2 linked regions of the Oryza sativa Japonica Group genome follow. The protein of the gene in region 2 binds, or shares a complex with, the protein of the main gene of each other region. Links are inferred from orthologs where the notes say so. Each region holds a gene or a part of one and is shown on either strand. Other genes may lie near its edges. The genes, in order: nuclear pore complex protein NUP58 and nuclear-pore anchor.

Region 1 (9,519 bases), on a different chromosome or scaffold from region 2:
TTAATGAAAAGACGCAAATATTTTGCGCATTCTTGGAAAAATGAAAGACGAGGAAAAAGAGATACAAGAGGCACCCACATTTCACGCTCATCAGCTACACCTAGCGTCGGCCCCGAGGTTTTGACCGCACTTTCTGCACCATACAATACAAAAAAGGTGTTGGGAAATGGGAATTATATAACAATAAAACATTGACAATAAAAAGGACAGCTTATGCTTGACATGGTTATATCCTTTGCTATAGCTGAAAAGGGAAGAATACTGCATAAATTGATGGAGATTATACTTACAGATGTACCACCAAAGCTGGATCCTGAAGCTGTAGCTCCACCTAAGGTAGACACAGGTTAGAATGTCATGCAATTTCCAAAAATCAGGATATCATAGCATGTATAGAATAGGAAAAGATATATTTGTAAGTTCAATTGGAAGTAGGATAAAAAGAAGAATATTGCTGGTGAATTTCAATATGGACGGTAACCATAGATGAGTAGAAACAGTGAAGGGCATGCACGGCAGGTGTGCCTGAGCTATATAACCCACTTGGAAAAATAATGGACAACTAAGTGTACTCTGCTGCCAATAACAAATTTCAGTTCAGACCAAAAACATAACAACAAATTTAGAGCTATGAATTGCCATGATGAAATCAAACTGTAGATGTGCCAACACTTCAGAAATGTTTATATACCATGACGAGATCATCTAAAATGAGAATTTCACAACATAAAAGTACCAAATTGTTTTCAGATAGCTACTGACTTATCATAAGCATATGACTATCTAACAGTTAGGAAATATAAATATAGTATGGTGAGAGTTTGTATACCTCCGAACGGCGTAGAAAACAGTGAGGTTCCACCTAAAGCGGGCGTTGAAGCAAAAGATGGAGTTGTATTCCCAAATCCAGATGGAGCCGGCGTTGATCCAAGCGTTGGAGTAGAGACTGTCCCAAATGGTGTGGACAGCTGGGCTGATCCAGATGTACCAAAAAGGTTGCTGGATAGAGTTGGAGTTGTTGGAGTTGAAAAGAGACTTGAAGAAGATGGAGCGGAAGCTGGAGTGCTGAATGATGGAAAAGCACTTGAAGAAGTCGCTCCAGAAGGAATCAATGATTGCTGTGGTTGACTCGTCACTGTTCCAGCAATTTGAGTTGTGGGCTGTACAGGAGCAGGCAAATGCAATGTTGGATGTACCCTTCTGGCAGCTGCTTCTTGTTTAGCCGCTTCTCGTCTATTTGCCTCTAAAAATGGATCATTGGCATTACCCAATCGCCGCTGCTCATGTAGATATTCAGTTTTCAATGACTCAACATATTGATGAAGATTTTCCACCTAAAAAAAATACAAACATTAGAAAATACTGGGTATCGCACCAAGGCAGTGCAGCAAGCCTAAAAGTAAGCAATCTCTCTTATTTTTTTCACGAGATACAGCTGTTACAAAAAAAATTTGGTTGACTTACAGATTTACATTTATTTTTATGACTATATTACATAATAAATGATTTATATCATGGGGGAGAACCTCAAAATAAATGCATTTTAACAGTTCAACTGCAGTGTGTGTATGAAAAAGGAGATTTACCTTAGAAGCAACATAGATGAAATAATCATGCACATTCGACATAACCTTCGGTAGAGATTCTAATGAGGCTGATTGCCTTTTATTGTTCTCCATTTGAACAAGCTGCTCTAGCTCCGCGATCCACTTGCAGCATTCTCCAAGATATTTCTCAAACCTGTTGATAGTCTGTTGCATAAAATGGGAAGGCCGCTTTGGGATACCACTATAGAAATCAATGGTTGGAGCCAATGCTACTGGCTGATTGGACTGAGCTCCAGCAGGACCAGAAGGATTTGAGCCACCACCATTTGCTCCAGCACCTGGACGGATAAATCTTGGTCTCAGCATCATATATGACCTAATAGCAAATTCTGTGTTTCGCATCATTTCATTCACAACAGTCATTAACTCTTGAACGGAAGCCTTCTCTCTTTCCATCATGGTGGTTGTCCCTCCAAGTTCCTGTTAGAGCAGGAAATATTTAGCCATAAATTAAAGGATTGGTATAAGGAATATGTAACAAAATTGTGATCATAAATACATTACATGGTTAGACAAAAACATTGTCTTGGACATTGACACAGTTCCCACACAGAACCTTAACAACTGATTCTATTTTAAAATATTTATAGAGTCCCGCAGAAATACAGTATTTTGGTTGAAACTTACCAAGAAAACTCTAGTATTCTACATATATGTTTTTTTTATTTTCCAATCTAAATATTGAAAAAGATTTTGATACTTAAAGTTCCACAAGTTTCTGACCAAAGTGGGTAGTAATTAGGAATGTTTTTTATGGATTCATGTGTTCGTATTTCATGAATCAGTAAATCCTAATAATTATCAACTAGTCAACTTATGAACTAAAAGAACCATGAATTACCACTAAATAAAAATGTGTGTTGTAGGAGATAGTTATGAACTTCATTCCCTCTCCAGTTTTAAGGTAAAACTATGTACCCTTCAGCACTGATGCGTTGATATGCTATCCAAATTGAAGCTAATTATGATTTTGTGGCTCAGGAACATTTCAAGATTTAAGGGTAGATATTGATTTTGAATTAACAATGCCTGTTAATGATCTGATTACACTTACTGCTGCACAATCAGGATGGTGAACCCAACCTTGCTACAAGGGATAAGCTGATTATTTTCTTTATCGAGTTTCATTAACAATATACTCCATTGTGCTAATTTGTTCATTGTTCAGGGCAAAACTAAAGCATTACAGAAAATAGAGGTTCTTGTCATCTTCGCAGCCCAAAGTTTATATTTACTTTCAGTTAATCCTTAAAAAGAAGAGGAAGCAGAGACATAGTTCTCCAATAGAGAGCTCAAGGTGATTGAGCATGATTTTATAGTTTCTAATTCGCTGGTCAGTAACTGATCAATTTTCCAATGGGTACAATATATGTTTCTTTGAAGACAATGCGTGTAGGCATCTCATTCTTTCTACTGTTGACTATGTGAAAAAATACTGAAATATCTCTTCTAGAAAGTGTTCTGCTATTTTTCTAAACTGTCAACTGACAAAATCCCATATCAGTTACGAAATAGGACCAACATAATCAGAGTCTTTTACCCCTATGCCATTAAAAAAGTTCCTGCTTACCTATGTGCCACAAAAAAGTTTGGAGTCACCTGTATGCCATGAGAAAAACTTTCGTTGACCCGTGTGCCATTCCGTCCACCTTCTGTTACAACTTAACGGTTTTGTAGTTCTGACATGTGGGACCATGTATGAAAATGACTAATTTGCCCCTGAAGGATTTTCAGCTCTATTCTCCTCTCCTGCTATCTCCCGTGGAGTGCCTGCTCTCTCCCCATTGCGCCGCACGCCGCCGCACCCTAACCCTAGCCGCACGCCGCCGCCGCCGCCTAGCAGAGCCGGACCCGTCGCCGCCGCCTGGCCTCGCCGGACCCGTCGCCGTGCGCCCAGGCCGGCGAGATCTCTCCAGCAAGCACCGGCCGCGAGGGCTGACGACTGATCTCTCCGGTGACCGGAGCGCGGCTACACCGTCACCACTTGTAGCATCGGGCTAGCTAGCGGCGGCGGGCGGCGGCGGCGCGCCGATGTGCACGAACGGGTGCGGGTTCTTCGGCAGCGAGGCGACCAAGAACCTCTGCTCCAAGTGCTACCGGGACCAACTCAAGGAGGCGGCGTCGTCAGCGGCGGTTGCCGCCGCGGCGCCTGACGTCGCGAACAAGGAGGAGGAGGCGAGCACGGCCGCCGCCGCCGCCGACGAGCAGCTAGCGCTGTGCGCGAGCAGCTGTGGGTTCTTCAGCAGCAAGGAGACCAAGAACATGTGCTCCAAGTGCTACCGCGACCACCTCAAGGCGACGTCGCCGGCCACCGCCACCGCCTCCACTCCCAACATCATCGTCCCCATGACTCCGGCCGCCACGGCGCCGACGTCGTCGCTCAAGGGGAAGGAGGAGGCAACCGCCGCCGCATCATCGTCGACGGCGCCGGCGAAGCCGAACAGGTGCGTGGCGTGCCGGAAGAAGGTGGGGCTGCAAGGGCAAAACTGTCTTTACACAGCCCCTAACACCTCTGTTATGTCTCCATTCATCCAAAATGGCACACGAGTCAACGAAAGTTGGGCTCATGGCATACACGTAACTCCAAACTTTTTTGTGGCACACAGGTAAGCAGCAACTTTCTTAATGGCATAGGGGTAAAAGACTCACATAATCAAGCGTCTCATGTACGACTGACAAAAGCAAGAAAAGCAAGTCCAACCTGAGCAATTTCACTTGCATCATTCTCAAAATTGACAGTTGAGATTGAAGAGTCATGAAGGCGAGAACACTGATCCAACCTCTCGCTCTCGTCCCTGTACTCCCTTATTTTATCCCTACAAAATTCAAAGTGAAAAATTACACCAATAGCATGCCAAGTCCCAAACAGGTAACAAAAACAGAGAAACTGAACTCTCTAACCCTAAAACCCATGTATTGACCACATCAATGCAAAATGAGGCAGTAGCTTAAGTAATCCGTAGCAAATGGCATAGATCATAGAGCACAAAACGTGTTTCCCCTTCCCCTGAAACCCAAGTAAACAATGATCTGCTAAACCATCAGAAACAGTAGCCCTCCATAGTATATATTGCTAGAAGAACATATTTGTTTAAAGCAAACTGATCTCTGAGAGACTGTAAAGGCACAAGCTTATCGCATAAAGCGTTAAATCTAAACCACAGACAGAAAAAAGAAACTACTTTTCCACCTTATCACCAACCCAGCAGCAGCAAATTCCACTAGGGCCTAAGCTGACTAGTATACCCATATAACAAAAAAATAATAATAGCATACCAACAAGGATTGCGTTTACCAAGTCAGATGGAGCAATTTTAGTTGACTACAGATCAAGAAAAAAATTGCAGTGCAAAGACGCTTAAACACTAAGTTCAATCACGAACAAGCACTCTCATTTGCCACAAAATAGGGGAAACCGGGGAGGGAAACCATACTCGATCTGGAGCAGCGCCTTCTGCGACTCGGCGTGAAGCTCCTCCCACTTCGTGTTGTACCCCGCGGGCTTCCCGTCCGTCGTATATAGCATCAGCTGCTGCTGCTGCGGTTGCGCGGCCGGCGCCGCCTGTTGCTGTGGCGGCGGCTGCTGCTGCTGCTGCTGCGGCTGCTGCAGGTTGAACTGAAACGGCGAAGGAGACAGGGACGGGGCCTGCGCCGGCGTCTGGAACGGATTCTGCGGCGCCGGTGAGGCGAAGGAGAACGCCATTGCAGCGCGGCGCGCAGGGGGGCTTGTCCCCGGCGGAGGCGGCGGGAGGTCGCCGGTGGGATCGAGGGGGGCTAGTGGGCTCTGGGCCGGACACGGTGGGCTCGAAGAGTTATTAAACCCTAAAAAACCGAAAAGGTTTGAGAGGGCAGTGTTAAGATGACGGCTTTACCCCTGGAGGCAAAACGGGTCGGAAGAATTTCAAAATTGAATTTCACGTTTGTCCTTTCCATTGTTTTCTTACTAAGGAAATTTCTACATACTGTAAGTTTTTGCCGTTTTATTTTGCAAGGAACATTACATTTTAGATATTTTTTACCAATGCATACTCTGACTTTATAGGTTTACATGTAGTTGGCGCAGCAAAAGCCAGTCACTTGAAATGTGGTTAAGTGAGGTAAAGTCCTTATCACACATTGTCAGCTTTTGCTCCACGCGATGGTAAGATGGTCCACGCAGTGGTAGAGCTAGATTCGGACCTCCCTACCGAGATCATGCGTCATTTCCCAAAGGTGCTCAATGTGTGCCATGGCATGCTCCTACACCTGTTTGCCACCGCTTGTCTCATCGAGCGTACTGAGCCATTACACTTCGTTGGGTGAGCAATGATATCATCCTGACTACAACTAAACATGCTTGACCCAACATTTATTTTAGCGTTACGCTCACCTCGCAAAGACGGGTACCAAGAGTATACTCCAATAACATTTCACTTGGCCTAATTGGAATAACTCAAGGGTATTTCAAACCTTCACGCGTCTCCTCACTCCTCACCATGCCAATATAATAAAATATTGGTAACGGTGTGTAGTGGCAAAAACGCTGCAATTTATAAGTGTATTTCTCCAAAGATCCAATTCTACAAAAATCTCTACAGCTAAAACCATGAAGCTAAAACGCAATACCCAAACAACAAATTTTGCTTAAATTTCACTTTGGAAAGGTTGGAATCAAAGCTCCTTTGTACTCACCTTTTTCTATTTCAAATTATCCAAAACAACAAAAACGTAGCTCGAAACATTTAAAAATCATGGTGACAATTATGCTACAAATCCTTAATATACCACCAGCAATACCTTTTCACAAGGAAAAATTATACTCTGATTACCATTATGAATGTCCTCAAAAAAAAAGATTACCATTATGGAAAAAAAAACGAAGGTTTGGTCACGGATCCACATTGAAGACGTCAAAAGAGTATCTGGAGGACCATATTGATACTCATAACTAATATAAATTGAGATGCGTAGAAGTTCAATTTATCACAGATTAACTGAAGAATGAAAACCAGAAGACAAAAACGAAGCTCTAAGTTCCATCTGATGAAATCTCGCAGTAACTGATGTTAGATAGATCTCCCTCCCCTTGAGCCCAACGGCTCAAGAGGGCCTTGACCGCGCCCTGATCGGGGGGCGCCCAGCCCAATGGCTGGTGGGCCCCCGTCACACTGCGCCATATAAAAGAGGGGTGGAGGCCGGCACGGCACAAGGTACGAAGTTCACCGCCGCCGCCAACTCCACCCCACAAAACCCTAATCCGATCGAGAGGGGGCGCAGCCAGTGACGGGAAACGCCACCGCCGCGCCACGCCTCATCGCCGGGACGTCTACGACCACCACTGCCGCAGCCGTCATCGCCGTCGACCTCACCGGCGTCGCATCCACGTCAAGCCGCGACGACAACGACGATGTCCGGCGCCTCTTCCTCCACGAACTCCTCAACCGGTCGGTCTATCTAAACCCTCTCCCGTTTTCAATCTCTATAGTTCAAACATCAATCCCAAATAGAACCACCCGACTAGATCTAACCTAGGTGATCCTAGAGCAAAGTCTAACAACTGAATTTCCAATACGCAGTGCTGTCACAACCTGCAGCAGATTTCCAACCTGTGCTTTGTTACAGCCTTCATATCAGCAGGGACATATGGTCATTCAAGTAGTGTCCAACTGTTCCATCCACTTCATGACGCTAAATTCACCTGACCCACAAGGTCATAGCTATCACTTGGGCAGTCATAAGATGCAGATTTTAAGAACAGAAGGATAAAACAATAGTGTGGTGCAAGCAGCCAGATAACTAGATAAGGTATATTTTGGTCCGCTTCTGTTATGGTGCAATTGCCTTAATGCTCCAAGCCAAGTGTGCAAGAGCTTTGTTCCCCCTAGCAACCAGTTATATCAAATCAGCTTTCATATATGACATAGCATAAGTAAATTTTGGTAGTACTATTAACTTGACATGGAAACGAGCATGAGCAGGTGAGGGCATGAGGCATCATCTAGCACATGAGATATTAAATATCAATTCCATGATTGAAAAACGAAGGTAAAAAAACATCAATTTCATTGTGTAGATAAGCAACTGAGAATTGAAAATGATCCAATGGTAGCAGCATAACAAAGATAAATTTTACCAACAAGGAATCATGGGCAGCACTTGGTAGCAGATACCATGCGTTGTGGACTTGTTGGACGTCAGAACTGCCCTCGTGATAGCAGATCAGATCATCAGACCATATTTTAGCCAGGCCGGCCTAAGATAGGCGGACCAAATTTACTTAAGAAAAGGGGTATTTACACATATACAAGTTTCAGACTTCGACAAGAGGCTGTCGAAGTGAAAGGATGTTGCCATCGCAGCAACTTCCTAAAAGAAAAACAAGTTACAGAAGGTTGTTACTCTCCTAAAACATTGAAAACCCCAGCTTCTTTCTAGATTGCCGCTTCATCTTTAATTGCGCCAAACAGGAACCCCGCTGTTCGGCTCTGAGCGTTTCTTTCCTTCCAAATCATCCAACAGACCAGCAGCACTAAAGTGTCAAATGCGCTCCTCTGGCTGGTTTGAAAGACCTGCCACCACTCCAACCACCAATCTCCAAGGTCCAATCCGAGCTCTGCCGGCAGCTGGAACCCGGCACCGATCCAACCCTTGATCTTTCTCCAGACATTTGAAGTGTAAGGACAGGAGACAAAGAGGTGCTCGCAATCTTCGTCATTGCTCATGCAGAGGGGGCAGGATTGTTGGTGTGGCCATCCTCGCTTGGTGAGATTGTCGGCCGTGAGACACCTCCCTCTCGGCCAACCACATAAAAAATTTCACTTTGGAAGGTTCTCTAGTGTGCCAAATCAGACTGCCACATCTCGCTTCTGTATTTGCCATGAAGAACAGTTCGTAAGCCGAAGCAGGGGTGAACTTCCCATTTGCAGCCCTCTTCCAAACAGTCACATCCTCCTCTCCCCCTTGCACCTGCACCTCCTGGACTGCATCCCAAATCTGAAAATACTCCCCGATGGCTCGATTAGATGGCGCACCTTTGATGTCACACACCCACCTGTGGTTCCTCAACCCCTGAGCCACTGTCAAGCCGGTGCGTTCCACATGGCTGAAAATCAACTGGAACCTCGATTTTATGCTTCCCATTGGCAACCAGTCCGCAAGCCGAAACTTCGTGTTTTTTCCATCTCCTACCTCTTGCCGTGATGCTGAGTAGTAGAGGTCTCTCAGATCTTTCGGCTCCACAGTCGCAACTGTTGTCCAAGGCCGGTCTTGCTGCTCACCCTTCTTAGCCAATCACTTGAGCCGAAGCGCTTTGCCAAAGAAGTCCAGGCTTTTTATACCCAACCCTCCCTTTTCAAACGGCATACAAACCGCTTTCCAAGCCACCAAACAATGTCCGCCACTCACCTCCTCCTGCCCCTTCCACAGGAACCCCCGACACTTTCTATTAATCTCTTTGATCGAACACTGTGGCAGCTCAAGCACCGAGAGGTAGTGCACCGGCAAGGCAAACAGGACAGACTTGATCAGAGTCAGACGATCTCCAGTAGACAGGAATTTTGGCTTCCAAATCATCAGACCATATAACTGAGACTGATGAATTGTGAGCGTGCAACTATCTCATAAACTGTAGGGATATGCACATATGATTTTCCCCCAGGACATTCTGAGAAAAAAAAAAGTACGAAATAGAAGTGTGGTACCTCAGATAATCTCCAATCAGTTGATTCCAGACTATTGCTGAAAAGAGAGGCCTGACATTGTAACATGTGCTCCCCATCTTTGGGCAATGAGTTTAAATTCAAAGAGATAAACAAGATGTTCATGTATCATGAATCATTTTAATTAGGAAAGCAGTCTCCAATGCTAATTCCTTGGTTTGCAAATACTTGCTCTCTTCTACAACATCTGTTGTCAAGTTGAGAATTACAGGCCG
Region 2 (9,419 bases):
GGCCCCTTGCATTCTGTTGAGTGGCTGAGCGAAGAATCCTGGCTTGCCGGTTTTGCCTCGCTCTCTCAGTTAGGTTGATTGTTCTGGTACTACGAGTTTCAACACCTTCTGCTGCAGTGGCGGGATTCTGCTGTTCAGAAGATGCACCAGCTTGGACTGGGTTAGGAGGGGTGGGATTCTGCTGTTCAGGAGGTGCACCAGCTTGGACTGGGTTAGGAGAAGGTTCACGTGCAGGGCTTGGTGACGCATCAGCCATTTGGCTCGGTGACGCATCTGCTCCACCAGATTGTGGTACAGGGCTTTGGTCTGATTCCATGGTACCATCACCTTCTCCAGTTTCTTCTGGCATGTCAACATCACTCTTTTCAGTTGGTCCTGCTGGAGATGCCGCCCTGAAAGAATCACCGGCTTGCTCACCAACATCCAGCACAGGGGGAGTGCTGTCTGGTTGTTCTGGTTCATCTGGCAACTCTCCCTCCTCCCTCTCATCTTCAACATCAGTGGTTGCAGTAAACTGACCCTCTTCCTTCCCATCCTCAGTTTTCAGGTCTTCCTCCAGTGATTCCATAACCGCTTCTGACTTGACTGGCACATCTTCCACAGTAGTTGCATCATTATCAATACCAGTTTCTGCATCTTGTCCTTGGATGTCCATTGAAGCGTCTATATGTGTTTCCATGTCATCCTTATCACCCAAGTCATCCTCCCTTGTTTCCTCAACCTCTTCAACTGGCAAGGAAGACTGATCGGTGTCCATCTCTTCTCCAGGCTGTTGCTCATCTAACTCTGTAGATGGTAGCACAGGAACAGGTGCCATGACATCTTCATGAGGTGACTGTTCAGTTTTTAGCTCACTAGTACATTGTGAAGATCCTTCTTTGGGTTTCTTCAGTGGTGGATTGGCATCCGTTGTCTCTCCTTGTGAAGCATCATCTCTCGTTTGTGGTGATGGAATTAGACGTTTACGACTTGATGGCTGTAACGCAGATACACCACCAGGAGTTTCACGCTCCATCAACAAGCCGCCTTTCTCTGTGGAACCTTCAACTACTGTTGTATCAATATCAGCTTGGGGTTCTTCAACTCGTTCAAGTGAAGGTCGAACAAGTGGTCTCCTTCCTCCTGGTCTACGTACTTCAGTGCTTGGTTTGGGCAAAGTAGAAACTGCTCTCTCCTCCACCACTTTAACTTGAGCAGGCCTTGGTGGAGTAGCTACCTGTCTCCCTGAGATTAGAAAAAAAAAAAAGCAGCAGCCTTATGAACTACCATATTGATCAAGTGACGGTAAAGCAAAGGAAAAACACATTATTCAGATCCACGCGATGGAACCAATGCAAGAAAATGATGCATTAGAAATCCAATATCATATCACATTCCGAAGTCCGAACAATATCTGACATGCCAAATCATTCAAAACCAAATTCACATCGAGTTCAAGAGTACATGTAATAGATCAGATCTAATATAATTTCTGAACTAGTAAGTATCACATGTCATTAACAGATACTATGATTAACTAATAGAGATCATTAAATATACACTAGCAGCGTGGAATGAAAAATTGAACAGAAAGGAACCTGCAGTAGCTGCAGATGCATCCACATCGGCACTTTCAACAGATGGTGTCTGGCTTGCTGCACCATCTTGGAAGGGACTCGGAGACTCCTCAACAGCTTTGATGGCAAGGAAATATGAACGCAGCTGCTCATCGATTGCAGATCCAGATGGGATTTGAGAGGATATTCCAGTATAATGCTGCAGAGAACGCACATCAGCTGTAGCAAAGCTCTAAATAAAATATACTAGGAACTTTCATTTGCAGCAGCAATAATGAAACATGAAATCTATGGGAGCAGATAAACTGTACCTCAATCACCTCTTTCACAGCCTGCCTATGCTTCTCAATTGATTCCTCTACTTGTTTCCTTTCCTGCAATTAATTTTCGAAAGCAACAAGTGGATTAGAGGGTGCGCATATACCACACACTAACCAGGCAGGACAGATTAATTATTGGAGAAACAAGCAACTATGAAGTTGTTATGTTGCATTTTTAATAGGTACACATCATGTATCATTAGGTAACAAATACGAGTAAATACTAAGGAAACAGGTTGGAGCAAGCTGCAATGCATGCTAACTGATCATTAAGGGCTATCACAGGAATGGGACATGGCCTGAAAAGCCAATAAGCAAACCCCAGACAATAATTTACTATAGTGTACTATAATTGCCTGTGATCATGCTAAACATTAACCATTAGCAAACTCAAATGATGCTACATTTGCAAGCTTTAAACAGTGAAATTTCATATTCTAAGAAATCATTCAATAGAAGAAAATGTAACGAAAAGTGTAGATCATAATGATAGGCTTAATACTCAGGGTTGGTTTGGCAATGGACATGAACACTTAGCATTTGGTTTATAGCCCAAACAAACTATACAAAAAAATTGGCAAGGGCAAGAAAATGTGTGTGTTTGGTTTGTTGCCATAGATTTTGTGTTGCCAATATTTTGGCAAAAACAATCAATACATCACAAGCAACATTGACAAAAACTTGGTTATAAACCAAACACTCAAACTTTACCAAAATTTGGCTTGCCAATTTTTTGGTAAGGTTTAAAATGGCACTTATTCTTTAGAACATTCATAATGATGCCAACTTTCCAACTCTAGAATACACTAAAACATCCTACTTAAAAGTTTCATCTTGTATATCCCAGAACACATTAAGTTTTTCATTTTTCTAAGTTCATCTGTGAACATGTCAACATATCAATCTTTCATTATCTTAATGTCTACTTCCTTGGCTTTTCTTATTAGAAAATCTACTGCATCGGTTAAAAAAAAGGAGAAAATTTCACAAACTACGGATTTAAGACAAATCACAAAACTATACATTTAGTGCCAAAACTAGGGAAACTATTTTGATCCCTCGAGGGATGTCCCCTTGTTTGCTTAAAAACCATCCAAATGGTTATGAAAAATTCTGGAAAAGATCGACAACACTCATACAACATAAGTATACAACTCCATAAAATCTTAGGTCCAAACGCAACGCACACGTCGAGAGATATAAATAGTAGGTCGAATTTTTTTCATAAATTTTTACAACTATTTGTATCGAATTTGAAAGAAAAAGGTACACGACGGGACATCCCCTCAAGGGATTAGAATCCACTCCCCCAAAGCTATCAGGTACAGATTTAGGGAGAAGTATCACAAAACTACAGATTTATTGCTCAAGTTATAAAAAAACTACAGATTTTAGATTTTCAATCCCTAGCACTACAGTTATGTTGAAGATATAGACGTTGTAGTTTTGGGATTAAATTGGCAATAAACCAGTAGCTTTGTGACAAATTTGCTACTTAATGTGTAGCTTTGTGACAATCTGTATTAAATCAGTAGTTCCATGATAAATTTGGTGCTCAATCTAAACCCAACTGACGATAAACAAAAAAATTTTTAAGACAAGACTGTACTCAGGCTAGTTGAGGAAGAAATACCTGATTCATATTTTGAATGGCGGTAGTAAATACTTTCTCATTCCTTCTGCGGAATGCTTTTTCTTTCTTATTATCATCTCTCTCTTTCTCCAAGACTTTTTCCAATGTCTGTTAATATATGTTTATGTAAGAAACCTGAAGGAGTTCATGTTCATAAAAATCACAACCTCCTGACCTGTATCCTGAAGTCCTTTTCTTTGATGGCCTGTTCATTTGAATTTTCTGTTGTAGTTTTCTGACCTGCTAAAGTATATCAAATTTAAAACATGAGTGATCATACAAAATATATAATTCAGGTGGTTGTGTGAAAGTAATAAGATTAATTAAGTACTTGATTTGAGATCTTCCAATTGCTTTGAAAGGCTTTGTTTTTCTTTCGTCAGTTCCTCCTTCTCTTTTGCTGATGCATCAAGCTTCCTCTACATTATTTAATAGGATGATATAAGCACATGAAAACAGCAATGAACTTTCGATCTTGCAATAGAAGAACAAGGGAAAGATCCTAACCTTTATGTTGATATTAATCTTCCTATGTCTGTCAATTTCAGATTTAAGGCTAGCCTGCAAAAGGAAAGGCATTACTAATACAACTAAAGTAAAAATGGCCAGGAGAATGTTACTGGAAATTATATCAGACCTCAACATCATTCAGCTTCTTTTCCCTAGCATCCAATTCAGACTGACATCCAGCAAGCTTTTCCTCCAAATTTCTTATTACAGAATCCTTCTCAGAAAGAAGTTTTTTTGTGCGCTCTAGCTCTGCCGAATTCTCTCTCAAGGTTGCCTGTTGTATTTAAGAAATACATGTGATAATCGTTTATCACAAAACTCAACCTTACAAACTCATTAAGTTCAGTCGTATTGACCAAATAATGAAATTTAAGCCAGCCATCCATGCTAATTAAGGGATGTACATCAGTATCAGTGTTATATATCACTAAGGCTGTGTTCGTTAATACAGGTTGAGAACTTATCCCTCCTGCATGGAAAACTGGGCTACTCATTAGAGCATGATTAATTAAGTATTATTTAAAAAAAAAGTTGAAAATCGATATATATGTTTTTTTTTCAAAAACACACTGTTTAGCAGTTTGAAAAGTGTGCGTGTGGAAAACGAGCGATTAGAAGTTGAGAAAAGTGGGAAACTAACTCAACTGCCATCAATAATTAGAAAACGAGCAGCATATGCGCATGAAAGGGCATAACAAGTCCAATACCAGCGATAGCCGATAATAATTAGAAAGTATGTTTCGCTTCAAAAGTTCTTATTCCAGACTATATTGTCTGTCCCCTCCCTCTAATTGTCTCACCAATGGTCATTTTCCCTATTCTTTACCGTAGCTATCTGATTCCAAGCTTGAACTAGGTTCAGAACCGAATGCTTCATTAAACAGTTGATCTCTAGTCAAACCAGCATACAAAAGAACAAATGTAGTATTATTTTATCAGTACTCTCAATGTCCCAAAATATAGCAACTTCACCTACTCCCCCATCCCAACTAATCACAACCATTTCTCATCTAATTTCTCTACTTGTTTCCTCATCTCAACTAATCGCAACCATCCCCAATTCAATTTCACCTCTTTCCTTAATCCCCAAGAATACCAGAAGTTCTTATATCTTGGATCAGAGTACAATTTATAGAACAAAAAATATGTTCAGACCAAATTCAATCACCAAAAGAATAAGTATAACATAATAACTAAAAATACTTATCAAAATGATTTGAAAAGATAAAAATAATAAAAAAAACCACTAACTTTTATGTTTTGAAGTTCATCCTTCATGGTCTCATATGTGCTCAAATCAACGCCTCTACTATTTTCAACCAACTGCAGAAGAATAAAGTTGACATAAGAGTCAAAACAAAATACCTGATAGAACAATGATAATAGCAAGCTTATAACAATGTTAATAATAATGTTAGAACTTTGGGAAACACTAGACAAATTCTATTCAAGACTAACTGATGAAGAGGTAAAACATAAACTGAATTTATACACAATGCAAGAACCCCTGCTCGATGTACACACCGGCACACCGGTCTGCTGTTCAGACACCCTTTTCTGTGCACATGCACTGGGCAACTAATCCTAAAGTCCCTCCATTCATAACAAAACCAATGACAGAAAGTGAAGACACAAGTAGCACCAAGAATATCAAGTCAGATGTACACAAACGCACATTTCCACACAAGCGCTGCCTAGCTTAGATGTAAGTTTCCTAAAAAAAACTAGCATCAGCATTTGAGGGTTTGCTTCCTCCAGTTCAAGAAAATATTTTTTGACCTGGCATGGTCTCTATCTAATGTACTAGTACAACATTAGCTGCTACAGTGCTATATTTTAATTCTTATTTATTATTTATTAGAAAAGGTCATGTATCAAATGTCAGCTACCTTAAGGAAATGCTAACCGCATATAAATAAACCAATTATATTCATGATGCGTTGCATAATGATAATGGGTAAATAACATACCTCGGAAATCTTTTGATTTAGATTAGCTATTTCGGTCTTCTGCATCTCTATTTCTTTTTTACATATTTCAGCATCTACCTGCTTTTCCAGTAAAAGATTATGCAACCTTTCAGCTTCCATTTTAGCCTTTTGAGCCTCATCATGGAATTTCTGAACCCAGGAGAGAAAAAAAAAGAACAATGAAGCACATCAAAACATGCACCATAAAAGAAATAAACAAGACAACATCAATAAACTTACCTGGCATTCTTCGAAATTATGCTTGTTCTCCTCTCTAAGCTGTATATTGCTTTCACGAAGCAAATTAAGCTCTCTCACCTGAGGTAAAGCATTTTTAATACAAAAGAAAACAAGCTACAAAAAAGGAATAAGAGAGCAACAGTAAAATCAAGAGAAAGGGAGCAGTCATGACAGATACCCAATACACTCTCCGCCCTAAAATATAACTTGTGGCTTTTTTGGAGAGATTTAACGATCAACGGAAAAGACTATGATGCCCCCCCCCCCAAAAAATAAATAAATAAATAAATAAATAAATGAGGGATAGTTGGAGGAATGGAGGTGAGTGAAAAGCAGACGAGTGTTTGGTGGGGAAAGTAGGACTATAGAAATAGCTATATTCTGGGACAAAATTTAAGCACTAGAAATAGCGATATTTTGAGGAGGGAGTCGACAAGAATGGCACCTGGAATTGCAGTGACTTGAATTCTTCATCCTTGAGCATTGATGTTCTTGCACTATCAGTTTGACTGCGGAGCAAGTCCTGTGCCTCCTTTGTGGACTTCAATGCACTTTCCAACTATATAAGCATGAAAAAAATTATAGCAGATTAGAAACACCTTAAGCTGCCCCCACAAAATCAAGCACGGAAACGGTTCTAATATCATGGAAGGCACACAGATAAAACTACATCAGACAAAAACACATAATAGGAAATCATATAGTCAAAATGAGGAGTGAAAACAAGTTCTCAAATCATGCAAGACAAACAGATTGAACAATAATGCATAACTTTCAGTTATGTGTTGAAAGTACAGAGGCACATGACATGTTCATACAAGACCAGAGTGGAGCCATAGGATCAAGTTAAATGAGACAAGCTTGGCAAGCAATCACACAAAGGAGACAAGGCCATATGGATTGGTTCCATGATGATACCAAATGCCAAATATGATGGGTCAAACAGTGGAAACTTCATGGAATTGTCCTATGGGCAGATTAAATGGGAGCATGGAACAAAATGACAAAACAACAAAGTCTGGCAGGTGGCAGTTCAATATTCGCAGTCACCATACTACATAAAACAAAAGAAACAGAACAGTTCCTTTATAATTACATACAATTCAAGTAAGCATAGGTAGAGTTCTGTTTTACTCCATCCACAAAAGTTAGACATATTTCACATTTGAGTTTTTCCAAATAAGTTGTACCTATTTGTAATCTTTATGTATTTAAGACTTAAATGAAGAGATAAATTAAATGTTTGATGAGAACCCAAGTAGTCATCTAAATACTCATTGGTTGCATGCTTGCATTCACTCCTTGATGTTGTAGCATCCAAGATAATTTAATTTCTTCATGGTCTTGGTGACAAAAGTAAAATGTGTAACTTTTGTGGATGGAGGAGTACAGTAGTTGACGTGGCACAATTATGGGTATTTGAACAAATAACAATATGCAAGAGCAAGCAGATCATACTTCTATCTGAAGCCGTGACTTCTCCTGTTTAAGCAAAGATATCTCGGTTTCTGCCTGAAATAGTGAAATTACCATCAGACTACATAAATAACATCCCATTCCAAGTAGAGGAATAATAAAGAAGAAGAGGACACTGAATCTTATACTCACTATTTCTTTCGATCTGCGCAGGTAGCCAATGACGCTATGCAAATCATCTTCACCATGTGAATCAATGCGTTGCGATGAAAGACCAGCAATATTGCGTTCTTTTTCAGCTAATCTAATGTGCAAAGCTTCTAGTTGATTGTGTAGAATTTTATTCTGCATTCAGCATTTGAAGAAAATATGTGATTCATGGTAACCCACTGTCATCAAGTACAGAAAATAGCAAGAATGTATATTCATGTGATCTTCACGAATGGCAACTAACGACCACCCGTGTTTATATACAGAACGGAAGGACATGCAATGGAAGCAAACAAAAAATATGAATGGCAACCAACTACAACCAGTAACCATTCTAGATTATGGTTTAAATATGCTGAACATCTTTTAGACCAGAAAAACAAGATTAATCCAGCATTATCTTGCCAACGAATTAAGCATATACTAGTACAATCAGTTACTGTAGTGATATACTGATTTTGTAAGGCAGTGTTTATATTAAGGCTCGAAAGTCGAAACAGGCAACTGTTATGAAAATAGTTATCAAGCATGTTAAAAAAAACAAAAAATAAGCCCATGAAACCCTAGTGTAAAGCACCATGTAGACAAGTGCCTTATTAAATTTTATTTGTATCATTAAAAAATATTCATATGTATGTTCTCAATAGGTAGGTATAAAATACATACCCCTCAAAATGTGCATGTAGAAGTCCATAAATTCGACACCCATCCCATAATCAATTAAGCATTATAGTAATCAAACCAATCAATTCTGGTTCCTATGCCAAACTAATCCCAGTAATTCCGAAATTGTGGTTGGAATTGATAGTAGTGGAATTTGCACACAATATTTTGTGGAAAATCAGGATTCCTCTCAAATCAAAATTTGTGTTTTGTTAACGCTAAAAAGAGTATATAACCAAAGATCGCTGTGTAGAAAAGGATTGGAAAAGATCATAAATGCCAAAAATGGGGGTGTCTTAAGCTGTTCCCGTGGTTTTAACAATATTCTTCGATATGTGCTGCAGGTGCTAGAAGAATGGGTGTTTCATTTTATTCTTTAAAGAGAAATGGGTATTCCATTTCAAAACAGAAAGCAGATACTTTGTCGCGGGGATTTCAGCCATTTAGTGGGGCTATTTGAAATGAGTTTTCCTGTTAGTTTCTGGGTTACTAACTGGTACTTCTTGCAGAAGTCAGAAGAAAACAGAAGCGCGCAGCAGGTGGAGCAAAGCTACTAGAACAAGTCGAAAGTGAGGTTCAGTCATGGCTGGAAGGAAGGAACAACAATCAGGATGTGAAGTCTCTGGAGTATCCACCCTTTTTCTTTTGTTGCTATTGCCAGGATTTTGTTTCATGTTTGAGTTGTTTAATGTCAATGCTATATAAGCAGCTCCCTTAGGTTTGTAAAATCCCACTTTTGCTCTTGGTAGTGAAACATGGAGATCAGATAACATTCTAAAAACGTGAATGTTTTAAGAATAACTGGATATCGATAGCTACAAGCTTTTAAACCTGATCATTTAGCTCATTGTATTTCTGCAAGGCCTCATCCTTTCCTTTCACCAGCTCTATCTTTTCTTGC

What was found.
Region 1: nuclear-pore anchor (region 2) and nuclear pore complex protein NUP58 share a complex: the UniProt entries of both Arabidopsis thaliana proteins name them as parts of the nuclear pore complex. The link is inferred for Oryza sativa Japonica Group from reciprocal best matches to the Arabidopsis thaliana genes NUA and AT4G37130.

What each region holds. Positions count from the first base shown.
Region 1 is NC_089043.1:21,389,670-21,399,188, forward strand, and holds the start of nuclear pore complex protein NUP58, read right to left. Parts: upstream 5,394-9,519; 5' UTR 5,311-5,393; coding exon 5,042-5,310; intron 4,424-5,041; coding exon 4,309-4,423; intron 4,234-4,308; coding exon of another isoform or gene 4,214-4,233; intron 4,096-4,213; coding exon of another isoform or gene 3,639-4,095; exon of another isoform or gene 3,209-3,638; intron 2,028-3,208; coding exon 1,587-2,027; intron 1,335-1,586; coding exon 830-1,334; intron 332-829; coding exon 291-331; intron 134-290; coding exon 101-133; 3' UTR 1-100. Other genes in the region: zinc finger A20 and AN1 domain-containing stress-associated protein 12-like, read left to right, coding at 3,639-4,095, 4,214-4,233; uncharacterized protein, read right to left, coding at 9,406-9,519. UniProt on the Arabidopsis thaliana protein: Involved in nucleocytoplasmic trafficking. May have regulatory roles in the gibberellin pathway, in auxin signaling and in light perception.
Region 2 is NC_089036.1:31,504,748-31,514,166, forward strand, and holds part of nuclear-pore anchor, read right to left. Parts: coding exon 9,350-9,419; intron 7,991-9,349; coding exon 7,838-7,990; intron 7,742-7,837; coding exon 7,688-7,741; intron 6,789-7,687; coding exon 6,675-6,788; intron 6,308-6,674; coding exon 6,230-6,307; intron 6,140-6,229; coding exon 5,990-6,139; intron 5,343-5,989; coding exon 5,271-5,342; intron 4,294-5,270; coding exon 4,147-4,293; intron 4,071-4,146; coding exon 4,017-4,070; intron 3,929-4,016; coding exon 3,841-3,928; intron 3,753-3,840; coding exon 3,685-3,752; intron 3,618-3,684; coding exon 3,510-3,617; intron 1,931-3,509; coding exon 1,868-1,930; intron 1,756-1,867; coding exon 1,578-1,755; intron 1,225-1,577; coding exon 1-1,224. UniProt on the Arabidopsis thaliana protein: Component of the nuclear pore complex. Acts as a docking site for activities required for desumoylation and mRNA export. Required for the proper expression or localization of a subset of miRNAs.